2 linked regions of the Coturnix japonica genome follow. The protein of the gene in region 2 purifies or fractionates together with the protein of the main gene of each other region. This does not show direct contact. Links are inferred from orthologs where the notes say so. Each region holds a gene or a part of one and is shown on either strand. Other genes may lie near its edges. The genes, in order: GALNT2 and TGOLN2.

Region 1 (15,829 bases), on a different chromosome or scaffold from region 2:
ACTAGCAAGACCTGCAACATATGATGTGCTCATTAACCAACCTGACACAGCTAAGCAAATGGGGCAGAGGTTGTCTTTCACAGGCATCTACCCATTTAAAAGGTATTAAGAACAGCTCTTGAGAGTGTAGGAAGAGAACCAAGCTCCAGCTCTCTCACTACATTTGCTACCATTACTATTCCTCATCATCTCCTACAAGACACTGAATGAAATCTAGATGCTGCCATCAGTTGAACAAAACAAACAACATTTCTAAATTAACACTTGAAAAAGCACCAACCGACCATGTATCTGGGTAATAACTATTCTACACACTAGAACACCAGTTACCCATTTGTTAAGTCTAAATGACACGGCTCATTTTTCTGTCAGTGGTGTTTTATTGGCAAAGCAACAGGGCAAGAACCCAACGTATGCTGTGTTGTGCGAGCACAGGTCAGAGGATTAAAGAATACATGTTGTTCCCAAGTAGGTAATGCAGGAGAAAGCGAGCAGACTTGCTGTTAATGGACGGTCTGCTACAGTCTGAAGCATTCCACTGTAACACACTGTAACAGGAGAGCACCGTAACAAGGAGTTAATACACTGTCTGGACAACATATGCACTCCTCATTTCATGGAATACTCCAGCAGAAAATACTGTAATCCAATCGCCCCCACACTTTTGATAGGTCTGCCTCCCACAGTACTGGTTTTGTGAGAGGGACATTCCCCAGTGCTTGGACAAAGACCAGTAATCACAGAGGCCAATCCACCATTAGCTGGTAGCAGCTAGCTACCAAATGAAATACGGACATTTTCCTTACTGAGGTCTTAAGAGAACCTGGATGTATTTGAGTGAGCAGACTTTTCCATTTAAGAAAAGGAAAAAAAAGAAGAGGAAAAAAAAGTCAAGCTATATAAAAACTAGTATTTCACCTCACTAAAACGTACCCATTCCCACACACTGACCGTCCTTAAACCAACAGGGCAGCAAAAGCAAATTATTTTAGTAACCAAAAGTAATTTCAGCTGCACAGATTGTTTTCAGGGTGGTTAAACTTTTGAAACTTCATACGACGAGGAAACATTTTCTTCTCATCAAGTCATGGCTCTTGGAGGATTTGTTCACAATAGCATTAGCTCAGCGCCAACTTTTTGTCAGATCTTTCCCTAACTAAGTTCTTTTTGTTTCAAACAGCTCCTTTACTCAGTATGGACAATCTATTACAGTTTGCTAATGCCAAAACACAGTAGAATCTCTGGGTGCTGTCTGGAAGGTCCCTTCCAACCTGGGTCATTCTGTGATTCTGTTTTCCTTAAAGCAAGCGCCCACATTATGTGGTTACTTTACTACTTCTAAAAGTTATTCAATAGTTGAATCTGTAAACTTTTCAATAGGCTCTTCCTTCCATAAGAGATCACAGCTATAAAGATGACGAATCCAAATGATTGCTTTTGATGTATAGTACATAGTAATTTCTGTGGATATACGGAATGCTCTAAAATTCAGACTGTGTTCTTTTATTATCTCATTCCTTTTTCCATTTGAGTTTCATAAGCAGAGCTCAGAACTATTATGGGTGGGGATGGTCTCTTCATATAGATGGCCCCTTCAGATAGACTCTGCTCCGTCAGGTTGTTCAGGGATTCAAGTTAGTATTTTAACTCACTCAGATGACAATAAACGTACCCCAGCCAATTAACAAACCCAATGTTTAAAAAAGTGGTGAAAGTAAACAGTTTAAACATGTGGAAAAATAAAGCACTGACAGGCTTTAAACACAGCCTCTGAAAATTGCTATCATACGAACAAACTGTTACCAAACAAGTTAATACACTGAGAAGCCCCTCCTACAAAACCTACCGTGAATCCGCAAAGAAAACGCACTATATTCCAACAGGGGAAGCATAAGTTACAGCTATAAGAAAGAAAACAGATGTTGAATTTTTCGCTTTCATGATTATTAATAACTGCTGCAGCATTCAGTAAGTACTCCTGCTTCATTCATGGTAAGATTGTTTGGCAAAGGAACTCTTAGGAATGACAGGTAAGCGTGCACTCAGTGTGCACCAGTCACACAGTGATTTATCTTCCCTCCTCAATTCATCCCCTACTTCTTTAGAAGCAAAGGGAAAAGCAGATGAGCTCACACTCACTTCAAAACAAGCAGCATAAGAGAACACACTCAGATTTTAAAATTCATGTAGCCAAAGATGCCACCGCTTTGAATTACATGATGACAACACAACGACCTTATGCAACACCCACTCTGATATCCGGCTTCCCCCCACCCCAATATATGCAGGCAGTGACATTCAACTCCTTATTACTGAAGGAGAAAAAAAAAGATGAGAGTGTCTCACTACTTCCTGCAGATTCATTTTTAGAATCCAAGTCTATTGCCAACACATGGCATTGCCAACGTACTGGCAGTGCACTGCTCCTCCAATAGCTCCTACTAAAAATCACTTTTACTAACAAGCTATCAATGCCCAGTCCATTGAAGGAACATTTGTACACCACCTGGCTACACGCTGATGGGTGCCATTACAACTTAAACAGCCACCTGAGAAGGTTATTTAAGAAAAGATTTAAATGGCCCAAACCAACTTCAAAACACAAGCGAATATTTATCATTGGCAACGACTACCTGAGCAGCTTGAATTCATCACCTGAGCTGCACAGGATCAGTTGCAGCTTAACATTTTGTTTCCAAATAGATAAACTTTTACCCTATATTTCTTCACAGAAATATAAGTAGTTGCAAAAAAATCAAGTAAAACCACATTTTCTAGGCCATGCATAGGTCTTATTGCTGAAACAGTTTCCAGACATGCAACTAGGGTTACCCTCTCATCACAGCCAGTACAGACACAAAGGCATCTCTTCTCTGCAACAGAGCAGCATTGTGAGCAGGCTTTCTAGCGGATCATATCCCATCTCTTATCTGACCTCTCATCACCTGATAAACAGCATCAGTTACGCACAAGCGCTTAGATATCACGTCACGCAGGAAAGCAAAAGAGTGGACAAGAGAAGAGAAAAACAAAATGAAATAATCATGTAATGTTGAAGATAGGGATTGAAGTTCTCCATCACGTATCAATGTTCTACTTTTCTAGGCTGGTCTCAGGACCAAGCCATGACTATTTTGTTAGTCACAACTGAGATAGATATTGAACATTCTTTTTCTTAACATGAAGTCATATTGTGCTTTTTCTAAATTAGGAAAAAAAACAGTGTCATTATATTACATTTTAAGTTGTATTTTTGGAAGCAGCTGGAATACACTGAAAAAATGACTGACATTTGTTTACAACACATTTCAAACTGCATGACTGACAAGACAAAAACAGGTAGAATACGTGGCACTCTGTTCACTTTCTACTTAATTTTTTAACCTACATCTCTCAAAGGACATCATTATTAGAATTTACAAAGTTTTGTACGCTGAGATCACACTAAGAAACAAACTACAGCAGTGGAATAACACAGAGAAGCACAGCTAACTATTACAACAGTAGGAAAAGTGGAAAAGCAGCTTAACTACTCCATTAAGAGTAAGTCGTTCTTGTTTCCTCAGTCCCTTCCATCATCCCTACAGTCGTGCTCCCCTTCTGTTTAAGCAGCAAAAATAGATTCAACTGTTCAAGAGCAATAGCATCCAAACCAAAGCCAGAGTCATCAGTGATGATACACCGATGGGTGGGTTGTGGGGGATGACACAGCACTCTCATGTCTAAGAAAAAAAACATAAAAACCTCGACTTGGAAGCATTTCAGATTGCATGGGCGAGGAGAGGAAGAGCCTCACACAACCACAGACCTAGAGAAGCTGCACACAGTTTGCAGGTGGCTGCCTTCTCACAACTCAAATTCATGAAAGAAACAATCCACAAAGACAAGGCAGTAATTTCTCCAAGTGATATTTGAAATGAAGAAAGCATAGACACGACAAACTTCGGAGACTTCACATTCCAGCAAGAGGAGGACAGCTTTATCAAAGTGCCAAGGCATTTCATTCAGTTGTTATAGACTTATTTATAGCAGAAAAACACCTTTGGGACAGCAAATAGCTACCCGCTAAACAGCAGAACATCCTTTTCTGTCTTCTTGCTCCTCCTAGGAAGCAAATCCACGTGACAGCATGTCTTCATTTGTCTAAAGATCGAGATATTGGAAATCCTATCCAATGTGGCATCATTATAAGGCACTGCAGTTACCCTTAAGGATGCAATAAACTAAACTTTCAGTACTTAGCCATTAAAACTGGCAACATCTTCCTTAGACAAAAGGAGACAACAGATTTGACGTTACTTTCAGTCCCCTTCCAAAAAGGAGTTCTCCTGCCGTGAGGAAAAACAATCGAATTTGCACTCCACTGTTCCACTCTCTGACAAAAACTGGCTAATGCACCTACAGTTAAAACACACTTTCTTTTCCCTCCTACCTTAACCTTCAGAAAGAAGCTCAAGTGCACTAAGTCTGTCAAACACGCAGCTCCCTTTGCTCTCCTCCTGTCATTATACACACATAATGGTACACCTAAGAGCCTCGCTTAATGCTAACCGAAATAGTTTGTGTGTTCCAAATGGAGAAAAGAGGAAGAGAAGGATGGAAGGAGTTGTTAAAAAATTGTATCCTTGTAAAATCCCGAAGAAAGCAGCTGCCTTCATTTTCCCCCTACTCTCCCCAAATGACTGAGTTACTTTTAGTCAATCATTGTACTCCACATATCATAGTTGACCTTTGAATTTCTTCCGCCTTAACTTCATGGTACGGCCACTATCAAAAGCTGACAGAAGAAAAAAAAAGGAAAAAAAAAACAAAGCACTTCTGCTCCCTCCCTGCCCCAAAAACACACAAAGTCAGGGAACTGAAGGAAAAACCCCAGAGCAGCACAACACACTGGGTCGTAACCAGTTCTGCAGGAGCAGTCTGCCTCCCTGTGGCACAGCTAAAATCAATTCCTGCAACTCATTCCACTGCACCCAAAAAATCCGACAAGCCAGAAGCTTAATGGACCTTTAGTCCTAAGCATTACAGAGCTGGGTTTGTTTTTCCTTTTTCTCCGTTTTTGTTTGGTTTTGGAAAAGGAGATATAATGAAAAAGCAGTTTCTAATTTTAAACATGGCAGAAGTTATCCAGCTCTGATTACCTAATAACTGTTTTACTCTCTTTCTCTAAAGTGCATGGAGAGGAAGAGAGGAGGCACAGCAATGAAGGAAGCAGAAGAGGTCTACATTAAAAAACTACAACAACAACCCAAAACCACCACCTTCACATAGAAACAAAAACCAAAGCTCATCAGTGTGATCCAGGAGACACCAAACATTGGCTTCGGCTGAAGCTTTACCTAGCAGGCATCTCCTCTTGATGCCTCTGCTTACAACACACAGTGCCTACGGGTCTCCTCCAGGCTACGCCTATGAGGATTTCACTCTTGGCAGCAGTGAGGTGTTTGGTGCTTTCCTGTGTCCTGCCTGAAGGGCTCCATTCAGCAGGCCTACTGCTGTAATGCTTGGAAGGACAAGCTGTTTTGTCGTTTCATACCCAGTCGTCGCTCATTTGTGGAACAACTTAGTTGTTAAAGGACTCAAAACAAAATCTGAAACAAGTTAAATGATTTCCAAATACACGGGTTTTGATTCACGCCACTCCTTGAAGATTGGGGCGATATAACTGTGGGATATCACCGGGATGACTCCAGCTTGGGAGGGCACACATCACTTCTAACCACGCTGAAGAAGCCACTCTACTTTGTTCCAGGACACAGAGCACAAACAAACCCATTTGCTATGGGTTAAGACATTTGCCCACAAGAAGGAAAGTTCCAGTCTCCACTCCAAAGGCTGTTTAATATTAAGTACAATTAATGAGCACAAGAGCAACCCACGTTTTTCTCAGTCTCACAACTGCTGGGCTGGCAACTTGCTTGCTTCTATGTCACAGACTCTGTCTGAGGAAACTATTTCACTAACCATTAAACAAGTGAGACAGACTTACTCTTTCCAATCTACAACCCAGTGACCTGGCTGGACAAGGAGCAAGCTGAACCCCTGGTTCTCATACTTACAGTCACTCTCACTGGAGATGAAAAAGAATATGAAGGAGAAGTGATTCTGTCACCTCTAAGTACCTTTGAATAAAAAACTTCAACTCTGCCCCTCCTCTTCCTTTTAAGAAAAGAAGAAAAAAGTGCTCTCATACCTTAAATTCCAGAAGTGGAAGAAGTAATTTCATCCTACTACAGCTTTGTGCCTCGTTCCAAAACATGAAACATCTCTCCTGCGTGTTATTATTATTATCCACATATTTATTAATGAGACAGCTCTTACTTTGCGTGCTTTAGCTCCATTTGTGCACACTCAGCTCCCACTGCCTACCTAACCAGAGCAGCGCACACAGGGCTGTGGCTCCCACCACTGCTGACAGAGGCCGAATGCTTGGGCAAGGATACTGCATGCTGGAGCATCCAAATGGCTTGAAATGTTATAAATGAAGAACCAAAATATGAAGAAGTTGATATCAACTTGACACTCCTCTACTAAGAAAAAAAAAATAAAGCATTCATCTATCTTTCTCAGGTGCAATCCTGGAAAAGGGCAAATACTTTCACCTCTTCTAAAAGAAATGGGAATTGATGATGTCCATCACAGCACAGGGTGTCGTACCAAACAAGTCTGGGGTGTCCAGATAATACATCAGGTCTGAACATGGAAAAAAAAAAAAACACCCTTATGGAAAAACCATTCTGTTTGTCTAGCTAGATCTGTAATTAACATGCAAATTAGTTATTCACACAAATGAAGAATGATCCCCTTCTGGCTTCTGTAATTGTAGAGACTCAACAAGGCATAGACTTCAGTTTATAAGAAGCGATGCTCTTCTGTAAGCAACCCTGTTTTCATTGCACTGAAATAGTGGGAAAGCAATGAAAACTACACGAAGTCATACAAACCAAGAAATTTACTACAGCAGGGTTTCTGTTCATAAGTTTAAGGCAGTTTGCACTGTTGCATCGTACCAGGGTCTGACACTAAGTTAATAAGGCTTTTATTGAGATTCAAAAGCTATTACATTACACACATCTTCCCATACTTACATTTGCTAACCTACTCTGAGGCCCAGGATTAAATTTTACGCTTCGCTGACAGAAAATAGAATCCTCAATCACCAATCCACACATAATTGTTAATTTCCCCACTTGTTTCTCATGGTCACAGTACCTATTTTGTTCCTTACCACAACCTTAGTTTAAGCTTCCACATTTTTAAACCCAGCGTTGAGCTTCGGCTCACACATGCAGAATATCTCATTTACTTTAACTCATCTTTGCTAAAACTCTCCAATTGCCCAGATCGGTGAGGTATATTAAACTTCTAGCAGAACAATGACAAGTTATAAGGCTGAAGCAAGCATCTCAAGATCATAGATCTCGTCAGCCCACCACAGCAAGTTGTACTACTACCAATAAGGAACAGCAGCAGGTTCTAGTAGATTAAGCACCAGAGTTGCTCTCAGAAAAACTGGTTTCTGTTCTGTTTTATTCTCACCTGATCTTCTAGGTGACCTTGTGCAAATCACCATCCCCACGCTGCCGTTTCCCCAGCAGTAAAAATGAATTGAGCTCAACTGCAAATCTGACTGGGAACTCAAAAAGAGACATACCGGGAGTTAAAAATCTATTTCCCTATCTGCAGATATATGCGCCTTTGATAGCTTTGCTTTATCCCATTATGCATCAGCAGCAGCCTAAGATTGCTTTTAGTTTCTAAACACACTCTGGTGGTTCCTCAAGAGAGGCTTTAGGGTACTGCCTTACTTTTTATCTCACGCTTCATCTATTTCCGCTACTGTATCTGCTCCGAGAGCCTGTACGTAGGATACATGCTTTATACTTGAACATACTGTGTCGACAGCCACAGTCCTGAGGCCATAGGGGGCAAAGAAGAGGACAAGACAGAGCGTGGAGGTAGCCAGAGAGCAGTCAACTCCCCAGATCCCCGCTCACCTCAGTAACTCCTTAAGTCAGCATGCAAGCTCTGCTCCCACAGCTCGCACAGGAGCCAGCCAGATTTTCACTCGGAACACGCACACCAATGAGCATCAAAGTAACTGTACCGAGATCCCGGTGGCTGTGCGGATGGAGGAGCACGACTCCGCTCACCCAACAGCACAGTGCCATTTTTAAGCAAGCAGCGCAGCTCAGCCGCCCAGCGCCCAGCTCCTCACCCTCTGCCCATCTCTGGGTTGATCTGGGGGGATCTTTTACGATAAATCTCACTTCCCAGAGGCTTTGCCACACAGCTTCTGGAAGCTCCTGACTTAGGGGAGGCACATGCAAATCCACGGATTCACAGTCACGAAGTGAAGGAGTTATGGGGCGATGGCGCTGCCTCACACCTCGCCGTGCCACATAACACCGCTCTGACCCGCGCAGATGGGAACGGCGGAACGTTCGGTTTCCCTTTCTTTCCCTCAACGACGGACCATCGCAGCACCTCCAAACGCTCTCCCGGAACAACGCCGGGGGAAATGATAATTAAAACAATTAAAACACAACGAGGGGGGGGGAGGAAAGCCCGCCGCAGCCCCGGCCCACGATGAGCCCGGCTCTCCGGCGGCCAGCAGGAGATCCCCGGGCTGAGAACGCCGCCCCGCTGCCCCCCGGCCCGCGACGTGGCTCGGCGCGGTTGGGCGGGAGCCGGTCTCAAGTCCACCGAGCAGCCGCCCGCCCCGCGGAACGCAACGGGGGCGGGAGGAGAAACGTACAAATAAAGGGGAAAGGGTGCGGAGAAGCGGCGCGGGAGGGCGCTCCCCCCCCAGCCGCACGCCGCGGTGCCCCTTATCCCGCCGGGGGCTCGCAGCCGGGCACGGCGCCTCGCGCTCACCTTCCTGCCGCCTCCGCCGCCGGCCAGCGCGGCGCTGCCGCCCGAGTACATGTAGTAAGCGATGCCCAGCACCCAGAGGAAGGCGAAGCACAGGAGCAGCCGGGACCTGCGCCGCATCGTCCCCCGCGCCGCCGCCAGGCCACCAGGAAACGGCCAGCAGCAGCAGCAGCAGCAGCCGCCGCGCCCGCCGCCGCCGCCGCGCAGGGTCAGGGGGCAGAGGGCGAGCGCCCGCCCCGCCGCCAATCCCGCACCGCCCGGCCCCGCGGGGGGCGGGGAAGGGAGGAGCCGGCAGCGTCGCCATGGTTGCGGCACGCCGCGACGCCCCCAGCCTGAGGAGGAGAGCGCCGCGCATGGCGGGCACAGCCGGGCATGGAGCAGTGTAATTCACAGCGGTATCGGCAGCCCAAGGCTGTCAACGTGCTGATAAACTCCAGCTGTGTCATCGGCTGGAGGTGAGATGGTGAAGCAGTTCCCCTGCTGCGTGGGGACTCCTTCACCGGCCAGATGTGCACTGTTCCTTCTATGGCTCTGCACAGAAAGCATCGCACGCGGATGTGTCAAGTACTCGATTCTGGAGCCGTAATCCCATTTAACCTTACACATTCTGCAGGCCACTTACTCTTCAAATGCCTTGCAAAGCCTATGGAATCTTTTTTTGCCCTTTTCATAGTCTAAAAGATGTTGAGACGGCCTTCAAAGGTCCTCCTGAAGCCTCAGGTAATTTCACTGACTTTAGCAATGTGCTTAGATAGACTTTTTTCCCTTTCCAGCAAAATTAGCCAGCCAAGCATGTACAGAAAATCCTTCTGTGGCTGCACACTTCACAAGCTTACTGCAATAATCCACTGCACATGCCCAGTCGTGGTTTTCAAAGGCTTATAACTCAGCCAAATCAAAACTAATTTCCTCTTGAACAAGCAAAGGCACATCTACTTAAAGGAAGGCTACTTCCATGTCAGAGTTCACTTCTCAGCCTTCTACTGATAAAGCTCAAGAAATGCTGTAAGGATCTACTTAGCTCAAGAAACTTCCCCCTCACAGAATCACAGAATGACCCGGGTTGGAAGGGACCTCAAGGATCATGTAGTTCCAACCCCCCTGCCTGGCAGGGCCACCAAACATACACATTTACTAGATCAGGTTGCCCAGGGCCCCGTCCAACCTGGTCTTGAACACCTCCAAGGACGGGGCACCCACAACCTCCCTGGGCAGCCTGTTCCAGGGCCTAACCACTCTCCTAGTGAAGAACTTCCCCCTAACATCCAACCTAAATCTTCCCTCTTTTAACTTAAAACATTTCCCTGTGTCCTGCTGTTGTCAGCCCTTTTGAAGAGTTTACTCCCCTCCTGGGTGTAAATTCACCCCCACCCCCTCCTGATATTCTGAACTGGCTGAACCAGTTCTGTTCAAATCCTTCCAAATTACTCACATTTGGAAAAAAGCCCAAAAAGCCGGAAGATTTCCTTCTGAAGTACTTGTATTTCAGTGACCACAGGAAACACAGAGGTTTGGGGTGGGAAATGTTATATAGCTTTAAGTCTAGGAAAAGCTGCCTGTTGTATTACGACACGTTTGCATGCACATACCTCTTTGCCTCAGAAGTCCTGGCGTGTTTAGTCAGCAAAGCAAATCAGACACACACAAAAGAAGAAACAAAAAGACACACAAAAAAGCAACCTTCAATTAAAGGAAGGAATCGGAGACAAAAAATGTAAGACATTTAAAACTGATTTTTTTTCTAGCTCGTTTCAAAAGAAAATATTAGCATATTTCAAGAGCAGCATTGCTAGAGTGATTCACTGAATCCAAATGCTTCTGTATCAACCGCGGTGCTTTAAACAAAAGGGAGATCAATCATGTGAGAGTACAAATAGGGGTGAAATTTGCAGAAGGAGTCATCAAAACTTTTCCTTTGATCTGTAATGCGGCACCTAGATTCAATGGGCCGAATCCTGCTCTGCTTAGCTAGGGCGTAAACCAGAGGTTATTCTGCCACATGCACTTGAGAGCAGGTATGGAAACAGACACAAGTGAGATCAGAGGTTAATTCAGGGTGTCAGCATTCACCTTCTTGTAACTAAAGACCACAAACATTGCTCATCCTTTTCTGGAGTGAAATGACCTAGCCTGAGGTAAATGAATCCTCCAGCAGCGAGAACAGAAAGCAGTCCTACTCTCTAGGAATAAGCAAGTCCGTCCCTTACTCATGCACACAATCTTGCCCCTGGAAAGATGGGAGTGAAGAGTATCAGATCAGGTCTAAAACCCAGAAAATAGGCTTTAAACGCTTTAAAAGGCCCAGATTCTGACCAAGCTACCTGAACCTTTTTGGTATACAGAAGCTAACGCACATAGTTGATCCATTTCAGATTATATTGTTTCAAAGCCATACAGTTATGTCAGAAGGTGTATTATTCCCTCTCCCTCAAGAAAATGGTTACTCGTTAGCCTGATGTAAGACGTGCTATAACACAGAAACCGCATATTAACACGAGATGTAAAATACATCTGCAGGGATAAAGGTTTATTAATACATAGAGAGCTTGAGCTGAATACTCAGCCCGCTCCGAGTTTGTGTTTGTAGTGAGAGAATCGTGTTTGTAGTGAAAGATCCTGAACCTGCAAACGTTTATGCAAATGTTTAACTTCATTCAGCACATATTCCCACCGGAGTCAGTCAGACTACTCAGATGTTTAAAATTATACGCTCATGGCTGAGTACTTGCAGGATTAAAGGTTAAGTGCAGCTAACAGGTCTGAAAATCTATGTGGGTGTTTTGCAATTCCTCACTGCACAGTGGTAACAATGAGACACAGCCTACCTCCTTAGTAAAAGACATGGGAGTCAACGTGTCCTTTCCCATCTGTTAAGATGACAAGAACTGTGTTTGTTTAATTTTTCAATGCAGTTTCTGATGCTACCCAGAGTAGGCAGACGTGCTGGCAACAGGCTTCTGGAGTGGCTCACTTCCAGAAAATCTTGTTACCCTCCAAGAACGCTGTTGGAGCTGTTAAAACCCCAAGAAGCAAATATTGTATCACGCAAGTTTTACCTCGAGAACAGCGTGTCATCCTGCCTGACCACAGAGTACGCCCTGCAAAGCCGGAGTACTTTCAGGTCCATTAGAGCTGAAATTCTCTCTCACTGCAGACTTTAACATCAATAAGGCAGTATCTTTGCTTTTAAAGCATGAAGCAATCACTATTTCCCCTGGAAGCAGGGTTTTTTTATGCTGTTTCCTCACTAGAGAACAAACCATGCATTCCATCATGAGATGTAGGTAAAGCAAATGCTGTATTTTCTCGCAAAGGTTTACAGCATCACCTTAAGCTCATGTGCTTCCGAGGCAAATAATCCAAATCTGGAAGTTCTTCCTCTCTATTAAATTTGAAAGTTCAACATTCCTTGAAGGTTTTTTGTTTGTTTGTTTTATGAACAGAGGAAATGGACTTTTCCCCTGTGGGTGGTGAAGGCTAAACTGGTTTTGGCTGAGACAGAGTTAACTTTCTTTCTAGTAGATGGTTCAGTGCTATGTTTTGGATTTAGGTTTTAAGTACGTGTTGCTAACAACCATACTTAAGTTGTTAAACTGTGCTTACGCTAAGCTGTGGACATTTCAGCTTCTGGTTCTGGGCTGCCAGCAATGGGCTGGGAACACACATAGAGACAGGGGGTGGGACAGAGTCAGGACAGCTGCCCCAAACTGGCCAAAGGGATGTCCCATATTATACAGGGTGATGTAGTACAATAAAACTGGGGGAGCTGGCTAAGAGAGCTGCCACTACTGAGGAACCAAGTGGGCAGAGTGAAAGCATGGTGAGCAATTGTTGTGTGCATCACTTGTCTTGCATATTCTTCTGTCATTATTATCATCACCCTTTCCTTCTATGTCCTCTTAAACGGTCTTTCTAACAATCCACTAGTTTCACTATTTTTCTACTTCTCTTCCCCCAAACTGCGGTGGGAGGACACAGCAAACAGCACCATGGTGCTAAGCTGTCTGCCAGGTTAAACCACAACAAGACAAAGAAAGAACAACTCAGCCTTCCGTAGGCCTCCTGCTAAGGATGGCAGCAACCAGTACAAACTACAGATACACTGCCAACTATTCTTCCTGAGCTGAGTCACTTAGTGAGTCGGACTGAACTTCAGCAGCACACACACACACACACAAAACCCCTCTTGCAGCATTCTGGAGGCTGGTGATCAGATTTCCAAATGTGATATGGCTCAGAAGCATCTCTCACAGGAGAGTGATGATAGGTGGGTGACAATCAGCTGTGGAGAGAGACTTGCTGAAGCAATGACCTCACCTTTGATTGGGGTAATTTGAACCCCATTCATTGCATTTATCTGAATTCTCAGGGTCATGCTGGATTCCTCATTGCTGCCAGGGACTGTGAAGACTGCCCTGCCTCATACTGTAGATCACCAGGAAATTCCTCTCTTCCCAAGCACTTGTGTCACAGTGGGATGCAGCCATAGCACTATATACTAGCACCTGAGGCTAGGGGTGAACACAGAGTGCTAATGCATACAGCAGTCTGGTTTTGAGCAACAAAAATGGATGTGAACTCTACACACAATGTCTCTGTAACCTCAGCTGGTGTTTTATTTGTTCAAACTTATCACCCAGATCAACGTGAGGCTACCCATGATACAGAAAAAGCACAGAAACTTCTGCTAAATCAGCTGACAGCAAAATTCCTGGAGAACAGGAAAGAGGTTTCCCCAACTCAAAGCATTCTGCCAGAAGCAGCTTTTCTCATCTCTTTAACTAAATCTTTCCTAGCTAATTGCACTGACACCAGCTCACCACATGAGATACAAGAGAATGAAGAAGACTAAACAGAAAGAGGAATGAAGGAAGACAGGTAGGAAGGGAGCTCAGTGCACAAGGAAGCCATGGAAGGCCTTCCCTTTCAAAATCACAGGGCTGTATTCACACTATCTGCCTGCAGCATCTGTAGTGGGGTGAATGGTGATTCAGATGGCCTGCTTCCCAGGATGTCAGACCCTGCCTTCTCACATAGACAACAGAGAGAGGATGATGCTTATCAACTACCTAATATAGGTGCCGTAAATGCTTCTCTTCAGTGACTGTACACATTTCAGCAGAGTAGGGAGAGCAAACCTTTTCTTTCTATATAATATTTCAGTTCCATTGGGATAGTGGAAAATACCTCCTTTCTTTGTCCTCACTTCCCTTATGGTAGGCATTAAAAAAGTGATTTCAGCCAGAGCCACTGAAAGCAGGTCTCCCGCTTCCTAGAGAAGCACCCTAATTGCTGACAATGACAAGGTAATTCCAGAGGTGCCATAGCAGACAGGCTGAATAGAGCTCAGATGGTCAGAAGGGGTGCACATTCCCAAAGACTCCTCCATGTTTGACAAGTGAGACTCACCTGCCGTAGCACCATGCCTGCTTTTCCCTTTACAAGCACAGCCAAACGAATAAATCCCAGTGATTCATTTTTATCGATACTCTAGATTGTACTCCCAGATATTGCTCAAGATGATTTTGCATTGTGCAATTAAAAGTCTCTTCCCACAGCACATTAAAAACAAACATGCCATTTTATCCTGGTCTTTTGCATACTTGCCAGTTCATAAAACACGGTGTTTAGATCTCACAGTCTTTATAACAAATTACATGGGTCTTCTGTATCACGCTTAAGAGCATATTTTGTGTAAGGCAGAAGAGATGCTCATAGCTGCTTCAGTTCACATACTCTGTAGAAGTCATATATTGATCTTTCCCAAATTTAATCTTTCAGTACCTTGGAACAGACAGTAAATAGGCTCGCTCACCACAGGGGATGGAAATTGACCCTCCCCTTTGTAGCCTTTGTGACCCCTTTTGGCTTCAAACCTTTATCATCATCTGTTGAAATCACAAAAGAGGTTGTTTCTGAAAACAGGGCTGAAACCAGCAAATCATGAGAAATCACTTCTACAGTGTTCCCCTTCCCGTGGCAATAGCCAGATCCACCCTCCGTGTAACACTTCTGAACCACGATGAACTTGGCCCCAGCATCTACCACACAACATAATTCAAAAGAGAAACAAGGATTGCCCCACAGAGACCATGTATTTTCCATGCCCTTTGGTCTTTCAAGAGTTTCAGGTAGGGTAGCAAGTGTTTTCTTCCAAGAAGACAAACAGAAAATAAAAGACCATTCCATCATGTTTTTATGAGCTGAAGAACTGCAGGTCTGTGAACTGATGCTACATCTTTTTTCCTTTCTCATTCTACTGCAGCACCGTGCGCTGTTTTATCTGGCTTTCAAAACTCTGCTGAACTGAGAGAGACGTGAACCACATGGAGAGATGGCCAGATAATGATTTGACTTTTACTTGTAAATTAGATTCTTCCTGCCCATATGGGTGTAAATGAGGCCTTCTCAGCTGAAATCATATTTTTGCAGTCAAACTCTCCAACAAGGTTATTCCTTCTACAAGTCTGAGAGAGATACCTGCTCTAGCTGTCATCTCACACGCACTGATGTAAACTGGGCACCAACTCTACAGAAGGCCACTTCTCTGCAACAGGATGGAAGTGGTGTAAGTAGAGAAGATTAAGCAGCTTTCTTAGTGAGAGCATCAGAAAAGAGAGGACATGCCCTCTTCTTGGGCACATGCTAACATATCCTGACTGTGTTAGGACAGCCCACCACAAGAGACCTGTCTACACGCTGCAGCCTTCCACCATCGCTGGCTGGTGAAGGAGAAAATCCCACATTCTAGGAAGCACTCTCTACTACAATGCTGGGAATTGGGAATGCTGAGATACTGAACAAGAAAACTGCTGTTTCTGATTCCCCAGCTTTGTAAGCAGCATTTCTGCTGTATGCTTACTTCTCAATTGCCTTACCTGAGTGATACCTTCCATATGAGTGTCCCAGGATAATGTTACAGGAACAAACATCTTTGGCTGCATTGCACAGTATA
Region 2 (15,949 bases):
ACACTGCTGCTTTTAACCTTGCATGCAATAGCTTTGTGCTGAATGGGGCTGAAAAAGCTTCACATGGAGCTGGTATCTGCAGGGTGGTGGAAGCTGAGGAATGAACCCCTCCCTCCGCACACAGCCACCCAGGTGGCACTGGACCGGTTTTCCATCAGTTCCATTTACCATCAGCCCTGCACAATGCTGGATGCACAATGCTTATCACCCCAGTGCTGTGTGAGGAAGGAGAGGCCCTGGGCTCTGTGCCCGCGTCGAGGAGCCCGGCTTCAGGGATGGATTGCGCTCAGGGTGGATTGACTTAAGGCAGTGTAAAGCTGCTCAGGAGCAACAGCGGCGCTTCCAGATGGGATCTCACAGTGAATGCAGCCCTGACATGCTGCAGAGCTGTTGGTTCTGCCCTGAGCTGATGATGTGGCTGTTTGTCTGCTGGTTGTGTTCGGGAGCACAACCAAAGCCTTCACCACTGCTTTGGTGCTGGGAAGGGCAAGAAGGCAGGAAATAAAACTGCCTTATGATGGGGACAGTGTTCCTTGTGGTTGGGGAGCAGCAGGGTGCTGCTGGCACTGGGGCTGAGCCCAGGTCCCGTGGTTGGGGGACAGCAGCGTGGCAGAAGGCAGAGTTTGGGAAGGAGAGGAGATGCAGTTTAGAGCCGTCCTTGTGACTGTCCTGCATTGGCACAGGCCGCTCTGAGGCTGGAAGTGCTGTTTATGTGCCATCAGTGGGTGCCCCAGTGCCAGGCAGTGAGCACTGCAGTGCTGGTTCTGCTCTGTGGACTTCAGTCCGCATTAAAGACCTGCTGGGAGCCCATGAAGGAGTGGTTTTCCCATGAACAGGAACAGGAGCAGCCAGGACATGGAGGAAGTTTTATCTCTGGCACCACAATGAGCACAACAAAGCCTCCCCACTGTGCATGCATGGCTCACTCTGCACTCAGCCTTTAAATCTGTTGCCTCCACCCTGAGGGCCTCTCAGACAAACTCTGCTCCTGTTGGTATTTCTCAGCCATGCTCTGATAGGCCCTGCCCAGCCCTGTAGATAATTATTTGAGGTCAATTAGCAGGACCACTGCCCCGACACAGCCCTGTGCTCTGGGTGCTCGTATCACTGCCTCTTGCTGGGGGACCTCCTGAGCTGCTCCCTCCCTATGCACTCACACTGCCCGTAGGAAGAAAACAGTTTGGAGACCCCTACAGCACATCCAGGTCGGGGTGAGGCTGGGCATGGGGCTTAGAGTTGTTGGAGGAGTCCAATACTTGCTTCTCTGGGAAGTGACCCTGAAGATGCACACAGCAATGCTTTCACCCCTAGTAGGAAGGCTCCAGAGAGCACTCCAGTCCAACACACAACCGAACTGTCTCCATTTTCCATCTCCTGCTTTCACCACTGCCTCCCCCAGGCTCTCAGTGACCCGGCCAAGGGGGAAGAAGTAAAGAAAAAACCACAAATAACCCTCCCCTGCCCCCAGTTTGTCCTCCAGAGAGAAACTGGGGGAAAGTTTCTTGCACCCAGAAACCCTGCTCTGCTGGCAGCACCCTGCCCTGCATTCCTTCTCTCCCAGTTCATCCTAATGCCACCGAGCACTGAATGCTGCTCGAGGAGCCTCCCTGTGGGTGAAGGGGGGAATGCAGATCCTCGCCAGCTGGCTCAGTCTGCTACTGACCAAAGGCCAGTTGGGTGAAAGGCAAAGCACACGGGGAACTCTATAAACAGTCTCCAAGCAAAAGGCCATCTCGTTTCATTCCGCCTGCAGGGTGCTTAGTCATGTGAGGGCTGAGCTGGCATCCATTAATAGAGGCTCTGCACAAAGCCTAGAGCACAAGCAATGATCAAAGAGATTGGGGGGGGGGGGGGGGTGTTAAAGCTAAAGGGCTTAAAACTGTATTTTTTAAGTCATTTATTGACTTTACCACACAGCAGAAAAAAAAAATACAAAGAAATATAAAAATTCTGGTCCTTCAAAGCAAGTTGCGTTGCACTGCAGCAGGAAACAAACTGTGCGCTGCTTTGTGCCAGCAAGGCAGCAGGCCCAGGAGCAGCCCCACCTGGAGAGAAATCATGTACCCAACAGGTACCGTCCATTCAGAAATGTGCCATGGGCAAAAGGAAAAGGCTTCACACTCCTTGACCAGTTTGAAACACATTGCATAAAAAGAGAAAAGAAACACCAGGAGTCGATCCCACAGGTTTGAGGCAAGAGGAGATTTCTCCCGCTCTCCCTTTGTGCTGGAAAACCAGGACACAACTGTAGCCTTCATGGCCAGACAAGGGATCTTCCCTGCCCTCATCACCCTGCAGCCATGGGGAGGGTCACCCTTCATGCAGGGCTGGGGATAGGCAGCCCCTCCAGCCTCAAAGCAGGGACAGGACTCCTCTGTGCGGCTCTGGGTACACGTGTACCCATGTGAATAGCCCTCCATGTGTCACAGCCGTCATTTTCTGCCCAAATAGGATAAAAAACTAACTAAGAAGCTGGGCACTTTACACACATCCTTCAAAAGTGCCCTATCTTGAGTAAGTATCTTTGGAGCAGAACTACAAAAACAAGACCAGCGTAACAGCTACAGCTCAGGAATCAATACACTTTGCAGTCTTCAATACAACCAGTGCTAGTACATCCCAGGCCCTCATTTAAGTGCCCCACAGTGACGCTGAGAAAACAGCAACAAGCTGCTGGTGAGGTGTACATTCAATCACGTTAAACCCCATTAGCAGGCTGAGGACAGAGCAGCAGAAGAGCAGAGAGGTTTGGGAGCTGTGGGACAAACCCTCCCTCTCACAGGGCAGCTGCCTGGGAAACACCTTAGTGCAAGCGCTGCACCTTTCCTGTTGAAGAGCCTCAGTACTTGAGAAGAGGTTTGAATGACTGCAAATTTCATTCATCCCAAACACTATCACCCACTCTGCATCATCATGACAATGTTTTAACAACAGGGAAGAGTTACCTTTTTGAGGTTAAGTTTGCTCCATCACTGCAGCTGTATGGCACAGAACTTCGTAAGCCTGAATGGCTTGCTTTCGCAGCATCAAACTAATTGTCCTCATTAGTGCAAGCATCTCAGCTGTGAGGACCACAAGGGAACAGAGCCACGTGGAGCACAACTGCCATAGGGCAGGTAAGGAAGTCTAAACTACAGCCAGAGGGCAGCTCCAACACTCCCAGAGGAGTGCATTAAGGTGAGAATTGTTATGTGAAGCAAACATCACCTTCATCGCAGAGGAAGAAAAGAAATCAAAGCAGAGTCCTTGGCAGATCATTTCCAAGCTAGTGCAATCACGCTCCAAACTTCAGCATCCAAATGCAATGGACAGAGAAAGAGATTGTTGGTGCCTCCAGCAGGACAGTGCTGGTTACAAAGGCAGCTCTATGACTCTGAAAGGAGAGAATCAGATGGCTCATTTCGCAGGTGGATTTTTCTCAAGAGATGTCGGTACAGTAGCTGGCAAATCCCATTTCGTTTAGACATGAAAGTTCTGTCAAGTGCCAGAGCTGGCTTCTCTTGGGCCACGGTCTAGAAACCAGACGCCCACGCAGAAACCGATTCATTTTCAGGCCGCTGGGAAAGGAGAAACACATTTTAAGGAAGTGAGAAGTCGAACATTACCAAGGTGCAGGTGCAAAAGTAAAAGCATTTCCCCTTCTTCCTGTTCTCTGAGATCCGAAGACGACAGCAAAGCTATGATTCAGTGCTACAGAGGGCAGTTGATGGTGTCCCACCATTCTGGTCCCGTTGTCGCCAAGCAGCATTCTTCCACTGAACACCTGAAGAGGAATCTAGATCTGGAAAGGGAAAAAAGAAAAGCTAAAACAATGTGAAAGCTCACAATGGCTTCCTATCACAGAAAATAACTACAGATGCACGTGAATCCAAAGTTTCAAGGGGAAAACACGACGGACTTCTCCAACCCCCTCCTTACCTTTTGATCCAGCCGCTGATAATCGCCGGATTTGGGCCGCCGACCGCCTTTCGAACGTTTCCCTTCCAGGGCAAAAGCGATGATCTTTGGAGAGAGAGAGGCAGGACAAGGTGAGCAGGACAGGAACGACCACATGCAGTTTTTCTGACTTCTAACAGAGGCACTTTCTAGTGGGCCAATGAGAAGCATCACTCGCATCCTTCTAAAAGTACTTGAAATAAACATCATTTAAAAGCAGCTCAGATTGAAAACAGGAAATGATGAGGCTTTCCCAAACATGGCAAAACAGTTTTCCACAGAAAACAGTTAAGAAGTTGATCCCTCTCCTACCACAAAAACAGGTTTGCAGGAGGGACAAAAACAGCAGAAAAGATGGGCTTTATCACTTGGGCTGTATTCCCCTGTGCAGTGCTATTTAAAGGCGAGTCTTTCACAACCTGGTACAGAAAACTCATTGTCCATAAGAAACACAGAGCAACTGCACAGATCTTTTCCTTTTCTCCTCGCTCAGTTCCATTTCTCACTGCTGAAAATAACCGCTGGAGCTGAGGCCATCCCATTTCCATGGAGATCCAAATGCTTTCCTGGTTACAACACTCCTCCCTGCTCATCTCAAAGCTGTTGAGATCAAGGCCTCAAATTAAACACTAAACAAACCCACCCAGCAAGCAGGAGGCTTCAGCAGGAAGCAAAAGGCAAAAATGAGAGCAGCAAAGGGGAAAGATGTTCAGCCGAGCATGTCCCCACCTGCAGCACCGACCAACGACTGCGAAGGAAGCTTTTAAACCACAGGGGGGAACTTGGGCAAGGAGCAGAACCACTCACCTTCCGCTTGTTGTGATAGGCAACATACAGAACAGCAACAATAATCCCCGTGGTCACCAGATAGGCAAAGAAGTGGCTGTTCTCTGACTTCTTCCCTGGAGAAACAGGAATACTCTTCTCTCTCTCATTAAATGAGGCAGCACCATTACCATTCCTAAACCCGTTCTCTTCCTCAGGGAGTTCGTCACCATCTGGGGAGCCTTCTGTGTCATGAACAGATGAAACTGACTGTGAGGGCTGCCCATTATTTTCCACTGAGTCTTCCTGGTCGCCCTGATTGCTGTCCTGCATGTCGGTGCTGTCTTGTTGCTGGTTGTCGCTGCCTTGCTGGTCATTCTGACCGTTGGCATCGTCGCTCTGTTGGTCGGTCTGGCTGTTGGTGTTGCCATCATGCTGCGTGTTGCTGGGTTGCTGGTTGGTCTGGCTGTTGGTGTTATCAGGCTGCTTGTTGGTCTGGCTGTTGGTGTTATCATGTTGCTCATTAGTCTGGCTGTTGGTGTTGCCATGTTGCTGGGTGCCGCTGCCTTGCTGGTTGGTCTGACTGTTGGTGTTATCAGGCTGCTGGTTGGTCTGACTGTTGGTGTTACCAGGCTGCTTGTTGGTCTGGCTGTTGGTGTTGCCATGTTGCACATTGTTCTGGCTGCTGCTGGTGTTGTCATCATGCTGGTTGGTCTGGCCATTGCCCTTGTCAGTGTTCTCTTTCTGGCTGTTTTGGTTACCAGCACTGCCATTTTTCTGGCCACTCTGGCCATTGGTGTTGCCATTTTGTGTGGTCTGACTGCCCTGCTGGTGGTTACTTTGGCTGTCGGTCTTGGTGCCCTGATTGCCACTATTGTGGCTGCTCTGCTCCTGATCATCACCATGCTGGGTATTGCTTTGGCTGTCAGTGTTTTGGGTGCTGGGTTGGCCAGCAGTGTTGCCAGACTGTGTGCCACCGCTGCCACTGCTCTGGCTGGTGCCTTGGCCCCCACTGCCACCGTTGCCGTTGTTCGGGTTGGTGCCTTGGCCTCCATTGCCATCATTGCCATTGTTCTGGCTGGTGCCTTGGCCCCCACTGCCACTGTTGCTGTTGCTCTGGCTGGTGCTTTGGCTCCCAGTGCCATCATTACCATTGCTCTGGCTGGTGTCTTTGCCCCCATTGCTCTCTTCCTTGTCTTTATCGCCTTGTTTCCCTGTCCCTCCGGGCTGCGTCTCAATCCCGTTTGTGTTTTGACCGGCACCACCAGCTCCTCCCCCGTTATTTGTCCCTCCGCCGTCTCCATCCTGTGCCCCGTTGGATCCTCCGCCGCCTGTTGAAGTGCTGGATGGCTGCGTGAGCTCCGCTCCCTGCTCCCCGCCTGCCACAAACACACCGAGCCCGCAGTTACCACCCGGACCCGCAGTTCCGTTACCGGCTCCCGTTACCGCGCTGCCTCCCGCCCCGAGCGTCCCGCCGCCCCGTTAAGGTTCCGCCGAGCCCCGACTCCCCGCGGTCATTGACGCGGCGGTTCCTCGCCCCGCCGGGATCACTCACATCATCCACCCTCGGCCCGGCCGCGCTCACGGGATCCCGGCAGCTCCCGCGGACACAGAGCCCGTAAAACCCGGGGCCGTGGGACACGTGTCCGCTCCCGGCTCCCACCAGCTCCCCCCGCACCCCGCGCTACCTCCGGCTCCGGCCCCGTTACTGGTCCCGTCCCCGTTACTGGTCCCGTCCCCGGTCCTGGCGGCGATGCCGAGGAGCAGCAGCAGCAGCAGCGGAACCACCCGCAGCGCCATGCCGGCCCGCTGCTCTCACCCGGATACAGCCTGCTTCCGCTTCCGCTTCCGCTCAAAACGTCACTTCCGGCACGCGGCTGACGGCCGGCAGGGGCCGGGGCTTGTGTGAGTGGGCGTGGCCATGCAAAGCAGGGGGCGGGGCTCGGCGAGGGAGGGGCGCGCCGGTAGAGCCGAGTGGGGGCGATTTGGGGTCAAAAAGGGGGATTTTGGGGTCAGAAAGGGGGATTTGGGGTCAAAAAGGGGGATTTGGGGTCGGACCGGGCGCTCTGGGCCTTGGCGCTGCCCTTCTCCTCGTGGGACGTTTCCCCATCCCATCCCTGGGCACTGACTGCAGCCCACGATCCGCTGAGCGGGGCGGGATGAGATCGAATCCATCAGCAAATGGGAAATTAACGGCAATTAACGGGTACGAGGCGCGGCCTCACCCCGGTGCAACGCGACATCTGGCGGGACCCCCCCCCCGGCCCCGGGCAGCTCCTAATTAGCTCCATCTCCGCAGGGAGCTCATTAGGCGTCTCAATTAGTGAGCGGGCAGCGCAGCCCCGGGGGGTCTGTTGGACGGCGGCCATTAGGGATGGGATGGAGTGACCCAAAGGAAAACGGGGCCGGCGGAGCAGCGACGTGTCACCGCAGGGACACGGACGGCACGAGGCCGCTCCCTGGTGGCCGGGGACACACGGACACACGGACACACGGACACAGGCCGGGCTGAGCGGGACTCGGAGCGGCCGGGCAGGACGCGGCGCCTTCATATGAGCCGCCCCACGAGCAGCAGCTCCTCGTGCCTCCGTCCTCCCGAAGGGACCATCCGGACCCAGCGCACCCGACAGATGTTCGTGCTCCGTATGGGAACACGCCGAGCCAAACAAAGAAAGATTCTCCCGCTGAAGTCCAACATCTGTTTGAAGCCGTCTGGCTCCGGTCCAGACTTTAATTCTTGTGACAGGTCTCTTCATGCCTTTAATTTCCCATGAAATCCCATTCAAGGCGCTGCTCGGCCGCATCCTGCTCCTGGTGTCGGCTGAGTGGCTGCGGCCCTTTGCAGGACAGCGGTTTTTGGCTTTTCTGACCCAAAAAAAAGGTTTCGGCTCTTGGAGCTGCAGCACAGAGCAGGGCTCCAGGCTGACATCGGCAGCGCTCAGCAGTGCCGGCCTTCCTGCACGGACCACGCTCACGCAGCAAAGTTGCAGCTGTAGTTTTATTTTCTTCTTTTTTTTTTGTTTTGTTTTCTTTTTGTGAAAAATAACAGGGATTCAATGAGAAACCCCCCCCCCAGCCCCACCCCATGTCCCCCCAGCCCAGCACCGAGCTGGGGACGGGGTCCAGCTGTAGTGGGATGGCACTGGGGGCACTGGGGGCACTGGGGGCATCAGCACTGGATGCCCAGCCTGAGGAAAGGTCCTTTTTCTTTTTTTTTTCTTTCTCTCTTTTATTCTTAAAAAATATTAAAAAACACAAAAAAACATTTCCCTCCCCCTCCCCCCCCCCTTTTTTTTTTTTCTTTTTTAATAAAAACAGTCTTTAGGTCGACTGCTGGTAAAGGGAAAGAGCCTCTTCCTCCAGAGTCTGCTTCCCAAAAGACAAAAAGAATAAAACACAAAAAAAAACAGTTCAGAAAAGGTCAAATATTGACCAATAAAGGTTTGGCTGCGTTGGGAGTCGTGATTGTGGCGGCTGCGGTGCAGGGCGGTGGGGGGCTCCTGCTCAGCCCACCCTCAGTCGGCCGGTTTGGTGACCAGCGCGAGCGGCTGCGTCTGCTGCGGGGCAGGAGGGGAGGGGAGCAGCAGCGAGGGGAAGGCGATGGGCCGGGGGAGCAGCGACGGGGGGGAGCCCAGGGAGGAGGAGGAGGAGGAGGATTTGCCGGAGAGGAAGGCGAGCTGAGCCCTGGCCTCCGGCTTGGTGGTGAGCGACAGCGGCTGCGCCTGCTCCGAGTGTGTGGCTGCGGGCGCAGCCGGGGAGGCCAGGGCGGCTGACGGCGTGGCAGGTGAATCCAACATGCTGCCGTGGGACGAGGCCGGGCTGTCGCAGGGTTTATCGGGGGGCAGGTGGTGTGGGGCGCACGGCTTCTTGCTCCTGGAGGGCAGAGCACCTGCGGGGTGTGGGGCAGGCGCTGAGTGTGGGGGCAGAGGGGGGAACGTGATGGCCACGGCCGCCCCTTCCCCCCCGGGTACTCACTCTCTGCCTCGTGGCTCTGCTGCTGGGCCAGCTTCTCTCGCTTCCTCTTCTTTTTCTTGCCCTGTGAAATATTGCAAAGCACTGAGGTGTGATGGTGGGATGCTCCACGGGATGGACAAAGGCTGAGGGGGGGTGATACAACGCCACAGAGCAGCACATGGTGATACAGGGGCTCATGGTCACACTGGGGTCATGGTGACCCAGGGGGTGATGTGGGCCGGCACCGTGGTGTCCCCCCAGCTCAGCCCCACCACCCTCAGGCCTCCCAACCCCACTGAACTGGGGAATGTGGGTCACACTCACGTAGTTGTCGCGGGCAGACCACGTGGGGTAGAGCTGTGAGTGCAACTGCCGTTCCTTGCGTGCCAGCTCGTAGTACTTGGCCTGCTCCTCCCGCGACAGCGAGTGCCACTGCAAGGGGAAAGGACACTGCGGACCCCAGGGACACACGGCAGGCAGTGCCTGCAGGTCCCCAGCACAGCCATGTTGGTGTGCAGGCAGATGAAGGCACGAGGGAGACACGTACCCGTCGGCCCAGGATCTGGTTGATGGCCGCGCTCTCCTTCAGCGTGCATTCAGCAACGACCTTCGCCCTCATCTCTTTCATGTACAACATGAAAGCATTCAGAGGCTTCTTGATGTGGGGCTTCTTCTCCTCCTCCTTCTTTACTGTGATGGGGGATTTCCTGCAGGGGGCAACATGCAGGCTCAGCTCCATATCCCCCTTCCTATTCCTGTCCCTGCTGCCATCCTCATCCTCATCCCCATCCCCATTCCTGTCCCTCCCCACCCCATCCTATCTCCATCCCAATCCCAATGCCAATCCCAATCCCAATCCCAATCCCAATCCCAATCCCAATCCCAATCCCAATCCCAATCTCAATCCCATCCTAATCCCCATCCCATCCCCATTCCCATCCCCATGCCATTCTGTCCCCATCCTGTCCCTGTCCCCGGCACCACCCCCCCATGTCCCTACTCACGAGCTGCTGCCAGGGCTGGCGCTGGGCTGGGCAGGCTCCTGCTTCACAATGGGTGAGACGATGGTGGGGTGTGGGATGCCTGAGGGGTGCAGACCGTGGGTGGGCGGCGGGACCATGTGTGGGGAGAAGCGGCTGGACATCAGGCTGCAGTGGAGGGAGTGGGGTTGTCAGCCCTCCCACAGGCATCAACAACCCCAAATGTCCCCCCAAATCCTACTGAGGATCTCTTGGGATTAGAGACTCTTCCCCGAACTGCTGGGGACTTGTTTGTGGCTGAACTTGGCACCATAGAGCCAAGGGACATCACTCTTCACACACAGAGTCACCATGGGGCTGTTTCTGGCCAGCGTGGGCCAGTGCAGTCACCCACACGGAGCTCAGGGTGCCCAAGGAGGTCCCTTGTCCCTGCTCAGAGCCACGCGGCCATGGGGACACGAGGACATAGGGACTTACGAGGACATGGGGACCTACGAAGATATGGGGACCCACCTGGCCATGGGGACCCACCAGGGTGCAGGGACCCACCTGGACATGGAGGCGTTCATGGCGAGGGCGGGGTAGGGGTGCCGAAAGCCGCCGGGGGGGATGGAGTACATGGGCTGTCCTTGCCTGCAAATGCACGAGCTGCAGCAGACACAGGGACAAGCCCCCTCCCCACAACACCGGGACTCTTGGCTCGGTCCCCAGCCGATCCCAATGGGGACAACATCCCACATTTCCACCAGAGCACAGTCCCTCCCTTCCCCACCCCATCGCACCCAGCTCGCTGGGAACCAAGGAGCACATGGGGTGCATGGGCCAGGGACGCAGTGGGGCCGGGGCAGGAGGAGCCCATCCTTACTGCGGCACAAGCCAGCCCAGCGGGTGAGGGATCTGACCCACAGCTCCTGGCGACAGCGGGTAGTAGGGGGGCAGCTCGGGAGGGTGCGGCGGGCGCGGGATCCCTGTGGGGGGAGCAGCATTAAACCCACCTCACTGTGAGCATCCACCTCCCTACAAGCATCCACCCCCCTATCAACATTCACCTCTACATAAGTGCTCATTTTCCTGTAAGCACTCACCTCCCTGCATTTCCCCCATTTCCCTACGAACATTCACATCCTTACAGGCACCCATCTCCCTACAAGCACCCATCTTCCTAAATGCACTCAACCCCCTATAAGCACCCCTCTCTCCACGAGCGACCCTCTCCTTACAAGCACCCATCTCCCTACAAACACCCATCTCCCTATAAATACCCCTCTCCTTTATAAGACCCCCTCTCCATCTGAGCATTCATCTCCCTATAAGCACTCCCTTTAAACATCCCTCTCTCCATGCAACCCCTCTCCCCCCACTCACCCGTTTTGGGGTCGATGTCAGGTGAGAGATGCGCGGGCGGCGAGCCAGGAGAGAAGTGGTCATTGCTGTAGGTGATGAGCGGCGTCAACGGGTGCATGTGGGGCGCATGCTGCACCACCGGGACCTTGTTGGACTGTAGGGGATGGGAGGAAAGATACAGTGATCCACCCCAAAACACAGCCCCCCCCAAGGACACCTCCCCAAAACACAGCCCCTAGAACGCCACCCCCAGCTGAAGCTCTGTTTGCTTCTGTGGGGTCTGAGGCCACAACTCAGTGGGGTTTGGGGCCGTATCTCAGTGGGGTTTGGGGCCGCAGTCCTTACCAGGTGTGCGGGTGACGGTGAGCGGCTGTCCTTTAGTGTGGCCCCAGCCGGCACATCCAGCAGCGGCCACTTCATCTGCAGGTACTGCCAGAGCAAAGAGCTGTCAGCACAGCACCCCACACCCCACTGCACCCCACAACGCCCCCAACACCCACTGCAGGCTCAGCCCATGGGGCTGATAGCACATTGGGGTGCCTCTTCTCAGCCCCATCAGCCACCACAGCCCCATAAAAGCAGATTTGGGGGATGCAGCAGTGCCCATTGGGATGGGATCCTCAGCCACACTGTCACAGAATGTGAGAAACTCCCCCCCCAAACTCAACAAGGGCCGGGGGAGAGGCACGTATGGCACTTCTTGAGTTTTTTTTGGTGCCCCACCAGATCTGTGCGCTCCAGGCACAGGGAAAACATAAAGGTGCATTGTGTGGTGCTGGGGAATGCAGCCGGGATGGGATGGAGCAGCTGTGCCAGGAATTTCCCCACCAGGAACCGTCCTGAGCCTGGGCAGCTGGATGGGATGGGGAGGGAAGGGAAGGGAAATGGAGGGGAACGGGAAGGGGAGGGAAAGGGGAAAGGGAAGGGGAAGGGGAGAAGGGAAGCCCAGCTCGGCTCTAGGAGCATTAACTCTCCCACGACTGGAAGGAAGCAGCCCCGCCTGCATCCCCATCCCCCACATCCAGCACCTCTGCTCCATCCCCAGCATCCCCACTGTTCCCAGTTCCTTTCTCCATCTCCAGTATCCCCTGGTGCTCACAGGAGCTCCTCATCCTCTGAACACTGCTGACATCCCCAGCACTCCGCTCGGGCCTCCGGTATTTCCCCTTCGGGCCAGGACTCCCCATGTCCTGTATCCCCCATTCCCAGTACCTTCCCTCCACCTTCAGTATCCCCCATCCCTTCCCAGTATCTCCCATCCATCTCCAGTCACCCCATCTCCAGTGTACTCCATTCCCAGGTGGAGGTGACAAATGAGGGGTCCCTGTGCCCACGTCAAAGTAACACAGGGGGTGTCCCCATGTCAGGGTGACACACCAGGTGTCCCCATGTCCGTCTTGGGGTGACATGAGGTATCCCTGTGTCCCCACATCCACACTGGGGTGACACACCGTGTGTCTCCATGTCCACGTCCAGGTGACACAGGAGGTTCCCCTGTGCCCACGCTGAGTTGACACAGGAGCTGCCCCCACGTCCCCACGTCCACGTAGGGGTGACCATTCAGTGCCTGCTGCGGCCCCTCACCCCCCGCCACCCCCCGCCCATCACAAAGGCGCTTTCTGCTCTATTCTGTAAGCGGAGAAGCCGCTGGGGGACGGCGGCCGGGCAGAGCTGTGTATAAAAGGCTGCTTCTCATTTGGAAGCAGCTTCAGGAGGCCGGGGAGGGGAGAGGAAGGGGGACCCTTTCAAAATATACAAAGAGGGGGGAGCTGGCGAACGGTTCAGTGCTAATGTGGAAAAATGAAGCCCCCCCCAGCTCCCCCCTCCCACCCCCCAGCCCCGGACACAGCTCCCACTGTACGGCCACGCGTGGGGCTGCGAGCAGCAGATTGGAGCTATTAAAAAAGAAAAAAAAAAAAAAAGAGGAAAATAGTTGAAAATCGGTCACATTCCAGAGAGATTAGAGCAAGTTCTGGTTCCTCGTTACCAGCTCCCCCCCCACCTCCCCAATTAAAACCAGGGGGGTTAACCCCTTCCCTGCCGGACTGCAGTGCCACTGTGAGCCCTCCCATCTGCCTGTGTCTGTGTGTCTGTCTGTGTGTCTGTCTGTCCCCCCCCCTCAGCAATGGGAGTTGGGGAGGGCTGTGCCGTGTGGCTGCGGTGAGCTCGGGGAGGAGGCGTGAACGCTGCGGGATCCCCTAATGCCCAATTAGGGGCTTTAATGAGCGGATTTCCTCCCCTCTTCTGCACGGGGTTGAGATGTTTTCCTTGGGAAAGGGGGGAGTGGGGGAAAAGCCCCACTGCGTGGTGGCACCGAAGGGGGGGCACATCCCACTGCCACAAATCCCAGACAGCCTGTCCATGGATTCCACATCCCAGCACTGTGTATCCTGGTGCCACCCACCCCAGCACCGTGTTCCCCAGGAGGAGCTGCTCCCAGCTTCCCCTGAGATCACATCTCTGTGTGCTGCTGGAGCCAAACTTGGTTGGATTTATCCCAGATGCTACACTGGGAATAGGGAATATCGGCACATCGCGGTGCTGTGGAGCTATGGAGCCCTGGCACTCCAACAGCCCACGTCCCAGTGTCCCAATGTTACACATCCCACATCTGGATGTCCTGGCATCACACATCTCACATCCCATTGTCCCAGCATTGCACAACCCAACATCTCACATCCCAATGTCCTGAAGTCTCACATCCTACATGCCAATGTCCTGGAATCCCACATCCCGCTGTGAGCACCGTGCACCCCACGTCCCAAAGCTGCAAGGCCCTGCAGCACCAGACCCAGCTCACCCACCACCACAGCCTCTCCTTTTGGGTGAGAAGGGCTCATTTTGAGACCAAGGCTCTGTGCTGCATTACCCACCCCACAGGATGCAGCCCACACCACTGCCCCCACGCCATCCTCCTCTCAATGCCAGCACTGCCATCCAAGCAGCCCCTGATGCCTCCAATTTGGCTCCTTTTCCCCAAAACACATCCCGATGCAGCGCAGCAGGAGCTGCACGTTGGGTTGCATTGAGTGTTTCGCAGAACCCCAAAAATCTTTGCAAGGTGGGACGCTCTGACCCTGCAGCACTCCCAGTCCCCAGCACTGGGAACAGCTGGGGTAAATCCAACCCAGTTTGGCACATAGGAAATGCAATTTCTGAGGGCTGTGGGTTTTCCAGGGGACGCCTTGTCTTCAGTACAGATCCCATGGCACTGGGGGGGGATCCGGAGCATCATTAGGACGTCATGGGGCAACACAATGCCTGAGCACCCCACGGCCTCAGCCCCACACACATCCTGGACCCCTAAACACCCCTTTTTCTCCTCTCCCCCACCAGATAACCTCAGTGGCAGCAATTCCCCGCCACCCCGGGGCTTTGTCTGTGCCCCGTGAATGGCTCCATTCATTCACCCCGCACTCACGCGGCCACAACTCTGTACGGTGCTCAGGCTCCGGAATCCCAAAGTGTGGGACCGAAAGGCACAGGGACACTGGGAGCAACAAGGCTGAATCTCAGCCCACCCCGCAGTCCTGGGTTTGGGGATGGAACCTCTGAGAACAGAGTCTCTACATCCTCTGCTCTGGGATGGCAGCTGGGAGCACGGCATCACCTGAACCCACAGTCCCCACCTGTGGGCCCACATCAACATTCCTGAGGTTTGGGAATCCCAGGGTTCACGATTCCCAGCGTGTGGGATCCCCGGGGTGTGTGACTGATGGGATCGCTGGGGCTCAGGCTGCCCAGCGGGTGGGATTTGCTGGATTCTGGACTCTCAGGGATCAGGTTTCCCCAGGGCTGGGGTTCCTGGGCTCAGCGTTCCCAGCACGAAGGACCGTCAGGGTGTGGGATTCCTGGGAGCCACTATTCCCAGTGCTCATGGCTCCCAGCGCCTGGGAATCCTGGGGCTCAGCCTTCCCAGGATCCAGGACCCCTGGGAAGGCTGAGCTTCCTACAGGTGAGGATTTGGGATGCCCTGGGGCTGAGGATTCCCTTGCTCTGGATTTCCAGGTTTGGGATTCCCTGTGGCTCAGGACTCCTGGTGCCCCACACACCCAGGATCCAGGACTCCCGTGGCGCACACACACATCCCTGCAACAAACACCCCCAAATGCTGCACACTGTGCCCATCCCCTTCCTCCCTCCTCCTCCCCCTGCTCCGGGGCTGAGCACCTCCCTCCCTGTGCCCCGTACCCCTCCATCTCCCCGCAGCCGGGATGCGCCGGGCGCTGCTCCCCGCGCTGCTCCCCGCTCCTTCCCTCGCTACCGCCCGCGACTTCAAGGAAGGGACGTTAATGAAAAGCAGCTGCTCGGAATTCCAGAAAGATGATGAATGCGCATTAAGTCCCCCAACAAAACCAGGTCTTATGAGAGTCGCCCGGAGCACTTACTTCATTGCTTTAATTTGGGAATCGTGTTGGAAAAGGGAGGGAGGGGGCGGAGGAGTTTAGTGGAAACCTCCTGTAGGTCTCATTTAAGCCAAAAAAAAAAAAAAAATAAAGAAAAAAAAATGCGGGGTAATTAGCCGAAGAGCATAATTAAGGAGCAGACATAAAGGGCCCATTGTGTGCCAAGGGCTGAGCGCGAGGTGCTGCTCACAGGGAAACCGAGGCACAGCACAGCAGCACCCAACGCTCAGCTCAGCGCCTGCAGCCGGGCTGGGGGAGAAGGACCCGACTCCTTTGGTGCCCAGCGCCCGACCAGGCCGAGGTGGCAGCGACCCGGAGCGGCACAAACCCCAACACGGCGCCGGATCCCGCCGTGCAGCCCCGTGCCAAGAGCTGGGGTTGGATCATTGTTCTTGGCAACGCGGCCCAGGGCAGATATTTGCTTTTGCAGACAGATCTGCCTCTGTGGGGCAGCCTGTGAGCAGGAGCATCCCGGGAACAGCTCCCAAAAGAGCCGAAATCAGCCCCAACCCTGAGCTGCTTCCCAAAGCCCCAAAGGGTCACCACTCAGCTCCGAGAAATGGA

Evidence for each region.
Region 1: the proteins of TGOLN2 (region 2) and GALNT2 purify together in Homo sapiens (affinity purification with mass spectrometry; 3 studies listed by BioGRID and IntAct, counting the BioPlex papers as one, with this or other methods). This does not show direct contact. The link is inferred for Coturnix japonica from reciprocal best matches to the Homo sapiens genes TGOLN2 and GALNT2.

Annotation. Positions count from the first base shown.
Region 1 is NC_029518.1:36,126,617-36,142,445, reverse strand, and holds the start of GALNT2 (polypeptide N-acetylgalactosaminyltransferase 2), read right to left. Parts: upstream 9,087-15,829; 5' UTR 8,995-9,086; coding exon 8,878-8,994; intron 1-8,877. UniProt on the Homo sapiens protein: Catalyzes the initial reaction in O-linked oligosaccharide biosynthesis, the transfer of an N-acetyl-D-galactosamine residue to a serine or threonine residue on the protein receptor.
Region 2 is NC_029537.1:26,521-42,469, forward strand, and holds TGOLN2 (trans-Golgi network integral membrane protein 2), read right to left. Parts: upstream 6,561-15,949; 5' UTR 6,502-6,560; coding exon 6,390-6,501; intron 6,081-6,389; coding exon 4,744-6,080; intron 4,003-4,743; coding exon 3,919-4,002; intron 3,782-3,918; coding exon 3,776-3,781; 3' UTR 1,881-3,775; downstream 1-1,880. Other genes in the region: TCF7L1 (transcription factor 7-like 1), read right to left, coding at 8,217-8,590, 8,677-8,737, 8,980-9,087, 9,203-9,362, 9,660-9,803, 10,185-10,268, 10,501-10,603, 11,001-11,133 and 1 more. UniProt on the Homo sapiens protein: May be involved in regulating membrane traffic to and from trans-Golgi network.